2 linked regions of the Arabidopsis thaliana genome follow. The protein of the gene in region 2 interacts with the protein of the main gene of each other region in a pairwise test. Each region holds a gene or a part of one and is shown on either strand. Other genes may lie near its edges.

The links. Proteins that work in one complex are often made in the same cells at the same time.
Region 1: the proteins of AT1G63480 (region 2) and PRF3 interact in a two-hybrid assay, tested with the Arabidopsis thaliana proteins (one large-scale study listed by BioGRID).

Annotation. Positions count from the first base shown.
Region 1 is NC_003076.8:22,907,536-22,914,152, reverse strand, and holds PRF3 (profilin), read left to right. Parts: upstream 1-3,442; coding exon 3,443-3,565; intron 3,566-3,932; coding exon 3,933-4,070; coding exon of another isoform or gene 4,071-4,136; coding exon 4,137-4,271; downstream 4,272-6,617. Other genes in the region: AT5G56590 (O-Glycosyl hydrolases family 17 protein), read right to left, coding at 4,717-4,864, 4,950-4,983, 5,078-6,361, 6,578-6,617. UniProt on the Arabidopsis thaliana protein: Binds to actin monomers and regulates the organization of the actin cytoskeleton. Can increase the critical concentration (Cc) of actin assembly in vitro.
Region 2 is NC_003070.9:23,536,968-23,545,436, forward strand, and holds AT1G63480 (AT hook motif DNA-binding family protein), read right to left. Parts: upstream 5,267-8,469; 5' UTR 4,719-5,266; coding exon 4,274-4,718; intron 3,867-4,273; coding exon 3,799-3,866; intron 3,714-3,798; coding exon 3,582-3,713; intron 3,500-3,581; coding exon 3,341-3,499; intron 3,187-3,340; coding exon 2,905-3,186; 3' UTR 2,590-2,904; downstream 1-2,589. Other genes in the region: AT1G63470 (AT hook motif DNA-binding family protein), read right to left, coding at 1-145, 334-492, 580-711, 792-859, 1,401-1,896; AT1G63490 (transcription factor jumonji (jmjC) domain-containing protein), read right to left, coding at 7,971-8,130, 8,399-8,469. UniProt on the Arabidopsis thaliana protein: Transcription factor that specifically binds AT-rich DNA sequences related to the nuclear matrix attachment regions (MARs).

The DNA.
Region 1 (6,617 bases), on a different chromosome or scaffold from region 2:
TCTGGAGCATTTAATTTATAACTGGTATAGGTGACTTCATCACTTTATTTAGGTCAGCAAATGCGTCTGGCAATTACAACGCTAAATTCTGTAATTGAATTATTTTTTGGACTCTTAATATACATTCTTTCCTCCGAGGATCATTGATAATTCATTTCTATTTATCTTTTTCACCAGCTGTATACATTCTCCCCCTTATGTTGGAATAGCTGACTATATAATATGATAGTTTTCAAAACGAGCGGTATATAAATCCTTCTAGGATGGCTTAGTTATCATTCATATCCAACATGTATTCTTATCCTCCTTTGAGGGTTCATCTCTGCGTGCTGTGGTGGAGCACTTTTCACATTCAAAGCTTTTAGATGAAAACTATTTGGTTTCTGACCCAAAACCAATAATAATGGGGAAAACTATTAATTATTCATTGGCTTGATGCGTATCGATGTTACTAAACCATTTTGTGTATGAACATGAATTTCAAAATGTTAAACACTTATCCCAACGAATATCCAATAATGGTTATTATAAATAAACACTGAAATACTCTTGTACTTTAATCAAGAAAGTAATCTCGCAAACTCTATGTTGCGGGTTTATAACAAGGATAAATATGACCTTTTTGTCGATGCAACAATCGAGTCAATGCGTCCATTGAATCGATGCATCTTTTATAACCATTAGGTATCTAAATGTCATATAGTGGGTGATCAACCCATAATTATCTCCTTGTATATACTTACGAATAGATAAAGTCCAAATTACTTACACTGGTAAAAATCACATTATCATATTGCTTTTTGAGCAAGTAACATTTGATAAATCATTAGGGAGAATTTTATGGTTTTTCACCTAATGTCCACATAATTCTCAATACTTTCACATCATCATTAAACCAGGATGACCAATCCGGTTAAGATAAATATACTTTTGAAATTTTTAATTCATTTGAAACTTCTAGTTCTTTCAAAACTTCTAATTTATTTTTCATTGCTTATCAGTTACTCCCTTAATGAGATCTTATAATCAAAATTACGTCCATGTATTTTAATAATCAATCATATGTTAATAAAACAATAACGAGATAATAATTAAAATTTTATATTCTAGTATAAACGATATTAAATTTGACTAACTATGTAAGATCTTATATTCACTTCAGAATATGAGTATTACCTATCATCGATAACTCATATATTTTCTTAGCCTTTGAAAAACACTCGATTTAAGTTTATAATAGTTCTCAAAATTTCTTTCAAAATATTGTGTCTACAGGACAACAATACTTGCGTAAAAGTTTAAGCGTCTGTTTTACCATCTCTGCATCATAGATATTCTCTTAACAATGTGAGTTATATTCACAAAGAGACTTCAAGTCTTGAAGTTTCAGTAATAACTAATTATATCTTATTTTATCTGATAACACATTCGTATAAGAATTGCTTTATACAACTTTTAGATCTTTAGTAGTCAAAGATTGAACATAATCTTCTGGATATGTCACTTATTATCGATGTGAGATTCATTATTTCTCCTCCTCGAAATGATGAAACTTCAAGTTCATCTATCTCGTTTTTAATTCCACTCTAGAATCATAATGTATTTTATATCTCATCATATTAACTTTAAGATTTGGAGAATTATACCCCATCGATGATTTTAATTTTGTATTCCCATAGAAAGCAATGTATATGCTCTTCTAGAGTCTTTTAATAAGATTTATACTACTTGATATACTAGATTATTTCATCGTTAGAAATTTTTCTTATTTTTTTTTTTTTTTACCATATTTATTTTCTCAATTTCTGGTGATAATTTAAGTTCTTGAAAAAACTTTGACCATCAAAAATATGATATCTTTTTAAGATACATTAAAATAGTCATTCATAAAAATTTCTATAAGTGATTATACCTTTAAATTAAGTTATTTATCAATCAATTTATTTCATAAAATAATCAAATATTATATATTAATATAATTTTAATGCAATATTGTAAAACCAATCAGAATAAAACTACTTTGTGCAAAATCTGGATTTTACATATATCTTGACAAAACTTTTATTTAGGGTAATATGAATTCGTGCAAGATTTGGGTAAAATGATTTCGTGCAAAATTACGACAAAACCATGAACAATTTTTTTTTAGATACCACAAAGATTTAGAGAAAAGAATCTTATAAAAAGAAAAATTATCTTGCAACGTTTTTAGTAAAAATAATAATAACACAATCAAATATATGGAAATCTTATAAAAAGATTTAGATAATAATAACACAAAGATTTAGATATATGGAATCTTATAAAAAGAAAAATTATCTTGAAATGTTTTTAGTAAAAATAATAATAACACAATCAAATATATGAAAATCAAATATTTAATATGGAAAAGTCAATATCTAAAAGTGATAAGATATGTATAACGTTTTAATCAAAGGAGTTAAATAAGGGATATCATATCAATCATAAATGGATTTTAGACAATATAATATTTATAAAATGATATTGAATATAGATGCAACTATTCAAAACTGGAATGCTAAAACATTAATACATGCTTGCATCACCCACCACCGGGTTATGAATAGTTACAAAGTTAGTTATATAATTATAAAATTGGTAATTTATATATTCAATATTGTAATAGTAAATCACAAAAATTAACAATTAACAAGCATGATTCTCTTCTTTAACGATTTTCTTTGTAGAATCATTGAATCATGCGATAGTAATTATAGAAACAAATGATAAGCATTATTCTCTTCTTTATTGAATCATTGAAAACATGCTTTTACCGATCTATACTATAATCATCGATCGGCTCATATTGTTTTGTTTCAATAATAGAAAATAAGTACTATGAACCATGAGTCGATAAGTAAACATGGTTCTTAAAAAAAATGTAAGAATCTCTATATCTACCTTTTAGAACGTGCTGATAACGTGTTATAACCAGAGAAAGAGATAAAAGAAATGAGTGTGTTATTCCATTGAGATAAATGGTTCTTTATATAGGAGTACAAAAAAAAGATAAAACCCTAAAAACATCTAGATGATGGGTTTAGATGAGGGCCTTATAATGGACATCCATCTTTATTCATAACAAAAATCAATTATAATGAAAATCGAAACATTTGTTTTTTTTTAGGAAAAGACCATATTTAATTAAATGTTTTGGTTTTCCTTAAATAAGTTTTCTATTTTTTTATTTATTTCCTCCCTTTTCATTATAACTGGTTGATTTTCTAATACAATTTTCCTCTTTAGAAACTATTAAAAAGAGCTGTGTCTGGCACGTGTCAATCATGTATAAAACAATATATTTGCGTAAATGCCATTGCCACACACTCACTCACTCGTAGTTTCGACGCTATCTCTAGAACATTCCGATAAACCACAAAGAAGAAGCAGAGCAAAAGTAAAGAAGAAGAAGAAAACAAACATGTCGTGGCAGACTTACGTCGACGATCACTTAATGTGCGATGTTGCAGGCAACCGCCTCACCGCCGCCGCAATTCTCGGCCAAGACGGTAGCGTCTGGGCTCAGAGCAACAATTTTCCTCAGGTTAGGGTTTATTTCTATACCGACTACTCAATTCTTATCATCTTGCTGTTTCTGGTTTGGTTCTATGTTGAAATCTGCAACCTTTGGTTTTGTTTAGCTACTAAACCACCAAAATTCAGCAATTTTCAATGTTTGGTTTTGATTTTCTGATTCATATGTTCTTGAGGTTATAGAGTGCAAAAGATGCATTAGAAGAAGTTCGAATCACAAGTTTAAAGCTCTTTTAAGAAGAAAGTTTTGACCTTTGGAAATAGACAAGTTCTTTGTACTGGTTATGTTGTTCATAAGTTATTAAGTTGCTTTCATGAGATGTTTAAGAGAGACTGAATTTGTTTCTCTTATAGTTTTTGTATTGTTGTTGTTTTAGGTGAAGCCTGAGGAAATTCAGGGCATCAAAGACGATTTTACTACACCTGGAACACTTGCCCCAACAGGATTGTTCCTTGGTGGTAACAAGTACATGGTAATCCAAGGAGAGCCTAATGCCGTCATTCGAGGAAAGAAGGTAACTAGACTGTTTGAATATTGTTTGATTTTTGATGAACTGTTGTTGATTTTGCTTCCATTGTAGGGAGCTGGTGGTGTTACCATCAAGAAGACCACCTTAGCTTTGGTATTTGGTATCTATGATGAACCAATGACTCCTGGACAATGCAATATGGTTGTGGAGAATCTCGGTGAGTACCTGATTGAATCGGGGCTCTGAAACTTAAGCTGCTACTATATTCATATTGCTTTATGTAATCTTCTAGTTGTGTCGTGAGAGAAAAACTATTCGATAATCCGACTGTGTATTACCTACCTTGTGATGGATCTTGGGGTTGTATGATTATTTCTAAAACAATATAGTATTGTCTACATTTGTGTCGAGTTGAAATATTTAATGAATGGCAGTGTGGTACCATAGCTTTAGAGTTCATTATTGGTTATGCAGATTGAGATTTTTGTGTATTATAGTGAGGATGATTAAGATCACAAGACTGTGGTTACACAATTGATATCAGACAAGTTTTCAGATAGAATGTCTGTACAACGATTCCACTGCAGGAAGAAAGACAAAATCGTTAGACGGTGTCACAATTTCTAGACCAAACTATTCAGGAACAAATTTTGCTTTTTCTTGCTATTGCTACATTTCTTTCAGATTTCGGTTACAGTGCCTGTGAATTCATAGTTTGCAAACTGAAGAACAACGAGATCATGAGACAGAGTTTCAAAATCCATTGGAGTAGTTCGTTTCCACGTGGAGTTGAAGCAGAGGAGGTCAATGCAGTTGCATTCGTCGCCTTGGTTTTGTTCCTGCAGAAAGATTTTAACAAAACAGTAAGAATATGTATTTACTGTTCTTCAATTTGCATATGAATCAACTATCTTTATGACATACCCTCCTGCAGTAATGTATATGCATTTGTCATAACCTGTAACAACGACATTGAATCAGATTAAGGTAAAGATCAAGACTGTTGATTTGTGATTTTGGAGAAGCAAAAGCTGGAGATTTTGTTTACTTACTAGGGTCCTTGTTGACTTTAACACCAGCTCCTCCAAAGCTGCAAGCAACGTCTGTTGCTCTGTTCTGTTGGAAATAGCTATTGAACACGAAAGAAGCATGAGAAACCAAAGTATCTGGTTGAAAACAAGGCTGGCTTGGCTGAATAGCTGTGCAATCAACATTTCCAGGACCACAAGCCCAATCCAAAGCACCTTTCAGATCTCTCTCTGAAGCTTTAGAAGAAGCAATGCACCAGCTATTACTACTCCCACTTGAGTTTGTACCACTCGAATTAGAGTGAAACCCGTTGCTCTTTCCCGTGAAATCCAACTGATAAACACTTGTCTGGTCAGGGTAGAACAATCCCCAGTTTCTCTCTGAATCCAAACCCGCTTTCCGATTCTCGTTGAACAATGAGAATATATAAACGTTCATTGCCTCTCCTGGCTTTGCAGGTGTGCCTTGGTTGGTAACTACATGACGGATTATGTTTGAATTGTATGTCTCCGCGTTGTCAGAAGACGCAGCAGCTTTCTCCTTCGGTGAACCTTTGGTTGGCCATCCAGTCTCAGTAACCATAATCTTGATTGTCCTGAAGTTTAAAGCCGTGAGAGCGTAATAAAGAGCATCAACTTGAGCATCAAACATGTTCTTGTAAAGCAAACCCGTGTTTGGGTCAATCACTTCAGAGGAAGACTCAAACAACACATAATCCAAAGACACATTGTTCGGAGAGTCTCTGTAAGCGTAGTACGGATAAAGATCGATCATGAAAGGAGACTTATTCTCTGCAAGAAACTCTAACATTGGTCTCAAGAAATAAGCATAGCTGCTGTTGAATGCTCCAGCAGAAGGAGGGAAAGATCTAGAGAGAATTCCGAGGGAAAGAGTAGTCGAAACCTTGATTCTTCTACTCAAACCGACTTTTCTCAGAGCGGTTAAGACATTCTGCATCGCGGGGACAACGAAAGACGAAGCATTGATGTGTGGATCATCAGTAGATTCAGCTCCAACGGTAATGTAAGTGATCTTGGTCGTTGGATAGTATGGTAAGACGCTGTTCTTAAGCCAGGTGTCCACATTTGATTGGGATTGAGAGAAAGCGTTAAGATCAGAGTTTGGAACTCCAATCATTAGCTCAATGCTTGTGTTTCCAAATGCTTTGAGGACTTGAGAATTGTAATCGTAGATTCTAACGTATTTGATGTTGTGCTGTTGAATCAATTGAACAACTTTTGACGGTGTTGGAAGATCGTCGGCGCTTCTTCCGTAACAAACTCCGACCTTGCCACCGTAACAACAGTCTACAAAATTTGGGGAAAAAAGACAGAATCAATTGACTTTTTTTCTGACGAAATTTTCTTTTGATAGCTCTACAGTAAATTAGAAGAAGGTAATGGAGTCTATTCAACAAGAATTGAAATTGGAAACCATTGAATGTTCTTAATTTTGCTGCTCTATTTCAGAACAAAGTCTCAGACAGCTCTTGAAGTGAGTAGTAGAGACAGAGAGAGACAAACCTAGAAGCAGAAGCAGAATTGAAATGGAGAAGATAAGCTT
Region 2 (8,469 bases):
CTGCAGCTTCTGGTGCACTACCAGGTGTGGTCTCCATTTCGCTATTGGTCGGCTCTTGCTTAGGTTTTATTTCTTGTTTGATGGTCTTGTTATTGTTATTATTAGACTTTGCACTTGCTCCGTACACGAAACTACAAGCCACCACCTTCAAAATAACAACCAACAAAAAAATTTAGTTTAAGAGTCACATTACATATAAACAAATCCAAACAAAATTTCTCAAACCGTACCAGAACCGTATTTTGAACTTTTGTATTCCAGGTAGCACAAATGTTATACCAAACAATTACAACCAAAACAAAACTTAATGGAGCCAAACCAATTTTGAAATACCTGAACGAGGCTGGCTGCGATAAGCATTCCAATTCCACCGCCGATAACATGACCTTCAGGACCAGAAAGAGAGACACTCAAACCGCCTGTTCGACTTTTGGATCCACCTTCTTCATTCACCAGATAAGATCCACCTAAACTTAGAATCTCAAAACGTCCCTAAAGAACACAAAGAAGGGATAAAGAATCTTTAGTTCTCCACGGTTTGGTTCTTTTTTGGATTAACTGAATGAACGATTTTGAAACCTCAAATGTTAAGGAAGGCGTTGTTGAAGCGGGTTCACGCAGAGTGACTGAAGAAACCGTTCCAGTGCCTGACATTATACAAAGAGCCCGAGGTCTTTTTTGTGAAAAAGACAAAACTTTCGAAACAATATCCTGCAAGAAAAATAAAAGGAAATTGAAACAATGAAAAGCTGCATAACTCATTAAGATTGATAGGAGTTTTTAGAGATTACTTCTCCTGATCCAACACTGATCACATGAGGTGCAAAAGCAAGTCCAGCTGATGTATTCATCCACTCACCTAAGGTAATTAACAGAGTTAAATGACCATTTACTTATCTCAACACAAATGGATCAGTCAAATTACTCTCATAGTTAATACCTAACAACCGATGTTGAGTAGCAGTAACAACAGAGCCAAATCAATACTAATTTGACCATAAAATCATTAAGCTTCTAGCAACCAAAATCTACCTAATCATAAGACCCCAGCTCGTGTTCTTCACAATGTACATAGAAGAAAGTTGTGCCAAAGCTTACAAATTGTGTCCATAAATCAAGAAGTCAAATATCGAGTTGACTACCACATTCTAATGACCAATTACTCATCTCAACTGGCATTGTACCCACACATGGATCAGTCAATTTAATACCTAACAATCAATGTTGAGTAACAGTAACAGTAAGGCTAAAGCAACAAAAACCTAAAATAACCATAGAATCATACATAGCTTCTACCATTCAAACTTTCATCTAATCATAAGATCCTTCAAGGGTTAGCCAACAGAGCTAAAACAACAACTTAACTTAATCAAGTACACAGAAAAAACTTGAGATCTCACCAAGATTAGCCAAGCGTTGCTTCCTTCCAGTTCCGGGAGGTCGACCTCTGGCTCTTTTAGGTGCATTAGGATCAGACATTGAAGAAGAGTCCTTAGACTTTTTACTAACACAAGGCATTGGAGAAAGCCCCAATGAAACTTGTCCATCAGGAACATACTTTCTTGGCCTTCCACGTTTCTTCTTAACCATCGGTTGCTCCGACGGTGGAGGCGGCAGCTGCAGAGTAGGCTGCACCGCAGCAGGAGAAGCCATCCCCATGTGAATGCTGTGTCCGAAATCAGAATGCCTGTGCTCAGCCATGGAGAAAGGAGGTCCTGGATTGCTAGCCTGAGGGTGGTGAATGTTAGGGTTTGACATTGGCCTCATTCCCGGAGGTGGCGGCGGCGCGTGAAGACCACTCGCGACCTGGGAAGGTGTAAGATTGGTAAAAACTCCTCTCTGAAGATAGAACTGAGAATGCGAGCCTGGAAATGCCATAGCTTCTCTCCCATCCATGCATTTAAAACCCTAAATTACAATTCTTTAAGAATCTAAGAGATTTTTTAAAAAAGGAAACTTTTTTGAAGAACAAATTTATCTACCACCCAGAAATCGTAAACCCTAATAACCCAAAGAGTGAAAAGAACAACAATGGCGGCTTTTATATACCCAGTAATCAAAGTCGGGTTATTTTCAGCTGTGAGCTTAAGATCCAAACTGTTTTTATGAAACCTAGAAAAGAAAAAGAAGCTAAATGTTGAGTTCACTTAGAACTCAAAAAGAAAGTAAAATTGCAGATTTGAAATGAAGACAACAAGCAAAAGTAGCTACTACTACTGTTACAGTCTCTCTGGTAGAGAAAGCAAATCTCAGAAAAAAAAAAGGAAAGAAAAAAAAAGAAGAGAAAGGAAGTGAAGACCATTGTTTCTATTTATATACTATTTCTTTAATTAATTTTGTCAAAAAAAAATATTCAATTGGTTTACAAAAAAAATAAATTGGGTTGTTTAAGAATTTTTTTTATTAAAAAGGATATAGACTTTCTTCAATGGTTTATAACAAAATCTAATGTCTCATTAGATTTCTGACTGAAAAAGAAATTTAAGTCAATTTGAGGATATATATTCATTAATATTTAATGCTTTTCATGTATAAATTATGAGCTTGTCATCTTCCTATAAATTAAGGATCCTAAATCTTGTGTGTGTTGAATTACACATTGTCTACCAAATAAGAGGAATCAAGTTTACTAAATATGTTAAAGAACCTGAAAGAAAAATAGTGAACTAGTAAAGAAACCAAGTTCTTGATGACCACAATGAGATCATAAAAGAGTTAAAAAAATCTCCTAAAATAGCATGAAAGTGGGAGGGTTCTGTTACATTAACAATGTTAGAAGGAGCTGAGAGATCTAGTATCAATCCTTAAATGTCTGATTTCAACATTCCCAGAGAGAAATCTACAATAACATATGTACAGCAATCACATTTTGTATGCTGCTGCTTCAAAGACTAATAGTGTATATCATCCACGAGTCAAATCAAAATCAGTGAGTGGGTTTCTGCAAATGTCAAGTGATCTGCCAGAGCCTGAGCCTGAACCGGGCCACCCCCTTATTCCCTGAGAAGAGAAGTTCTGTGGCGTCTGCTGACCCGCAGATGCTGCTGGTTCAGCTGCACTACCCGGTGTGGTCTCCATTTCACTATTGTTGTCCTCTTCATTTGGTTCCTTTTCTTGTCTGATGGTCTTGTTATTGTTATTATGAGTCTTTGCCCTTGCTCCGTATACAAAACTACATGCCACCACCTGAATAACAAACAAGTTTTTCAAACACTACCACATGATATCTTGAAGAGGAAAGAAAGTGACAGCACAAACATATCAAAGGCTAACATTCGTAGTTAGTTTCGCCTCGTTTTAGCTTCACTTTACAACCATTAAGAAGAAGAATTTAATATACCTGAACAAGGTTGGCTGCGATAAGCATGTCAACTCCACCGGCAATAATACTACCATCGGGACGAGAAAGAGAGACACTCAATCCGCCTGTTCGACTTCTGGATCCACCTTCTTCATTCACCAAATAAGATCCACCAAAACTTATAATCTCAAAAGGTCCCTAAGAAACACAGAAAGAGGATTAAATAAGAAATCTTTTCAGGTTTTTCTTTTTCGATTAACTGAATGAACGACTTTGAAACCTCGTATGTTAAGTGACGATCGGTTGAACCGGGTTTGCACAGAGTGACTGAAGAAATGGTTCCAGTGCCTGACATTATACAAAGAGCCCGAGGTCTTTGTTGTGAAAATGACAAAACTTTCGCAGCAATGTCCTGCAAAGAAAAATAAAAGGAAATTGATACAATGAAAAGCTGCATAAATGATCATTAATATATAAAGGAGTTTTGGTCAGTTTACTTCTCCTGCTCCAATGCTGATCACATGAGGTGCAAAAGCAAGTCCAGCTGAAGTATTCATCCACTCACCTAAAGAAATTATCAGAGTCAAGAGTTTGCTATTACTTAAAGTTTGATTAATCACATTATGATGACCAATTACTTAAACATGAATGGATTAGTAAGATTACTCTTTCACAGCTTAAAAACCTAAATCAATAACTTAAATCAAGAAGTCGATTTCGTCCACATCTACTAATAACCAATTACTCCTCTCACCTAGCATTGTACCACACATAGATCCGTCAAACTAATAGCCAACAATCAATATTGAGTATCAGTAACGACAAAGTAACAAAACCTAACTTAACTATAGAATCATTCAAAGCTTCTAGCATCCATAAGATTCAAGCTCATGTCCTTCAAGACTAGCTAACAGAGCTAAAGCAAAAACTTAACTTGACAAAGTACACAGAATAGAAAACTCGAGATCTCACCAAGATTAGCCAAGCGTTGCTTCCTTCCAGTTCCAGGAGGTCGACCTCTGGCCCGTTTAGGTTCATTAGGATCAGACATTGGAGAAGAGTCCCTAGACTTATTACTAACCATCGGTTCTCCATACTTTCTTGGCCGTCCACGTTTCCTCTTAACCATCGGTTCCTCTGGTGGTGGCGGTGGCGGTGGCGGTTGCACATCAGCATCAGAAGCAGAGGAGACCACTCCCATGTGAATGGTGTGTCCAAAATCCGAGAAAGGAGGTCCTGGATTGTTAGCCTGAGGGTGATGAATGTTAGGGTTAGACATTGGCCTCAATCCCGTATGTGGCGGCGGCGCGTGAAGCCCACTCGCGACTTGGGAAGGTGCGAGATTAGTAAAGGCTCCTCTTTGAAGATAGTACTGAGAATGCGAGCCTGGAAATGCCATTGCTTCTCTTCCGTCCATGCATTAAAAACTCCAAAATTACAAGTCTTTAACAGAAATAAGAGATTTTTAAATTGATTAACAAAAAAAGGAAACAAATTTATCTAATCTAATACCCAGAAATCATAAACCCTAATTCCCAAAAGTAGTAAAGAGAACAACAATGGCGGTTTTAAAATTACCCAGTAATCAAAGTCGGGTTATTTATACTGTGAGCTCAAAATCCAATTTGTTCTTATGAACCCTAAAAAAAAAAAGCTAAAATCTGAGTTCACTTATAGAACTCGAAAAAGTACGATTGCAGATTTGAAATTAAGAAAACAGAGGAAAGTAGCTTCTCCTACTGTTACAGTCTTGCAGAGAAAAAAATCAAATCTCCCCCTAAGAGAAAAGCTAGATTTGATTGAGAGAAATCTAGGGTTTCTGAGAAGGAGAACACAATGTATATCAGAGGAGAGACAAAGGAAGAAGACAGATGAGACAATTCAGGGAGAAGAAGAGAAAAAGAGAGAGAGAGAGAGAGAGAGAGAGAGAGAGAGAGAGAGAGAGAGAGAGAGAGAGAGAGAGAGAGAGAGACTAACAGTTTAATGATTCTGATTTATACTTTTAATATTGTGAACTTTTGAATTGAGAGAGGTCTTTCTCTGAAAGTTAGAAGAAAACTAAAGAAGCTGAACGAGAGTGACGACCATTGTTTTTCGTATTTATATATCTCTTTAATTGATTTGTTATTTAATTTTGTGAAAGATAAATTCAATTGAGAGAAAGATTATTATGAAAGATTTAAGCATAGTTTGTTTAAGAATATTTGTTTAAGAATATTTAATGTATTAGTTTGTTTAAGAATATTTAATGTATTAGTTTGTTTAAGAATAGTTTATTTAAAGTATTAGTTTGTTTAAGAATATTTGTTTTTAATAAAAAGGATAGACTTTCTTTGATGATTATTACAAATCTAATATCTCGTTAGATCTTTGACTGAAACCGAAATTTATTAGTCATTGAGAGACAATTATGTGCTTTATTCTCATAAACATTGCTACCAATAAAGATTTAAAAAAAAAATCTTTTCTAACATATTCTAAAGAAAACAGTTGACATTTTAGATTATTATATCATGTAATATATTATTTCTTCTGTGACACACTTTTTCCGTTTTTATATGGAATCATGTTTAGTGGGTAAAATATGTATGCAAAATTTGAAGATAAATTCAATATATATATATGAAAAGTATAATAATGTTTCTAAAGAAACTAAAAAAATAAAGTGAAAATAAAAAGAGAAAAATGTACAAACCTTTTAAAATAATCAAAAATATATTATTCTTGCTAGAAAAAAGAAAAAACTACAACATGATTATTTCAATTTTGGAGCTATTTTAGTGGCTTTACAAACTTTCTACACCTCAACTAATCATGTCTATATATCTTCAATAGTTATCTGTAATTTTTTTTGGTCAACTGCTCTATAATATATTTATAATTTATTTTTAATTAGTATAGATAATTATAAGATTATTTCAAAATATATCTAAAAATTTTAGGTTTTCTTATAAATATATAATCTTGAAATTTCATTCAGTTACACTTTGACAAGAGGCAAGACTAGTATGAAATGACTTCATATCATCTTAATTCAAATTAAGATTTTAAAAGAACAAAAAAAATCAAATCTTGTTGTAAAAAGTTTGATCTTGATTAGAAATATCCAAATATGAGAGAGATGTGTTGTTGACTAAAGGATAGGAAAGAGAATGGGGACACACTTGAATCTCTTCTCTCTCACATGTCTAACTCACTTTGCTATTTCTTTCTTTGCTTCGGACAGTGAGCCCTCTCTCCTAACTTTATTTGTTTTCCATTTTTATATTCCCCTTTTTCTCTTTTACTTTTTATCTAAAATTCTTTTTTTTTATTTTCTTTTAAAAGTTTTGAAAGTGATTTATTAATATATATATATATATATATACGTACATATATTTTGTTTCCACCTAATTTGAAAGTTTGTATGATGCATTTAATATCCGGTGGCTAAAGTACCCGACCAAAAAATCCAAATAGTCAAAATTTGGTGCTAGATATAAATAAAAGTTTTCTAGAGATATATCATATATTATATATTTTGGGTTTAATTAGATTTGTTTTGCTACTCCATTATGAATAATCTTTACATTAATTTGTTTTGTTTAATGTCAACAATATTACATTTGCACACATTTGACTTTTGACAATAAAATAAAGAGTTTTGACTTTCCTTCTTTCACTTTTTGTTTTGCCAACTTTTTACCTAAAGTAATGTGACTTGTCTTTTTTTACTTAGAAATTTCATGATAGGAAAAATTTGAGGCCGACCATTACTGAACTTATACAATATTTTACTTGTTCTTCTTACATAAATAGCTATAAACATACACAAATCAGTCCATTTCATCTACATGTAACATTAATAACTTTAATAAATAAACAAGATATGGACAGTGTGAAATTCACAATAAATGTACTAGATAGATTTTCAAAAATGGAAGAAGAGTGTTGAAGGAAGCTTTCAGCTTGAGGATGGTGTCTCAAAAGGTACAATAAGGCTCTGTTTCTATGAAAGTCCCTTACTTATTACTTCACAACACATATACACACATTATGATACATACATATATAGAGAGATATGATTGTGGGTCTCTGAAACATGATGTCATCAAAAGTGGGTCTCTTTCTGATTCTTGTAAGGAAAGTGATCTCAACTGTTGCTTTTTTATTTTCCTTCTCATGAATTTGTGGGGATTAAGAGATATGATTCTCTTCACACATTGGTGGTCCAACAATAGTTCAAAATTCTAATAGCTGCTGGTAGTTTGATTTTGGTAGAGTTTGTTGAGTTTAAAAAGTGAGAGATATCAACAAATACATACTATAAATCTATAATTGAATAAGAATACAAATTTCAATGGTAAATGTGTTAAACTTGAATAAAACATCAAAGAATGAAACAAGCTTTAAATCTAAGATCTAAGCTAATATCTCCTCTATACATAGTTGTGATTAGAATTTCTTATATTACATAATCATCAAATTCTAGTTATAGATCCACTGATCCAGTTCAAAAAAAAAAAAGATCCAAAAATCTGGCAAATTATTAAGTCCAAAACCTTTTTAATGTGAACTTGTCCATTTTCCAATGGGAAACATTACAAAAAGGTTTGAGAAAACTCATCTAAAATTGAATAAATGAAATTGCTCTATATATCATACCCTCAAGAGATTATTATGTTGGTTTTTAAGTGAAAAACCAGGGAAGAATATGAACCTGAGGACTCCGTTTAGTTGTCCGTTTGATGTGTTTTCGGGTTTTCCACTTTAAGTCATTAACTGCTGCATCAGTCGCGACCATTCTTGTCCGTCTTTGGTTCAGAGACGGTCTCTCTGGCTCTGTTGCTCTGTTAATAGATATCAATCAAACAAATGGGTTCAGAAAAATGGGAGGAAGTGTAGAGTATCTTAACGAATCTGTAAACATTCTCGGTTCAAGCCACTAAGCCTAACAGAAACCACACAATCAGTAGCTTTTGATTGTGACCTAAACTAATGAGTGAAGCAAAAGTATAGAGGTTTCAAGAAAGTATGCTTTTAAAAATCTAAGATCGATGTGAATACAAGTGTGTAGCAATGTGGTTTAGAGTAAGCTTTTATTGCAAAGGAACAAACCTGGCGGGATCGATCTGTGGAGTGGTTTCTGCCAGTGGACAGCAAGCGGAGCAGACATAAGCCTTAGGCCG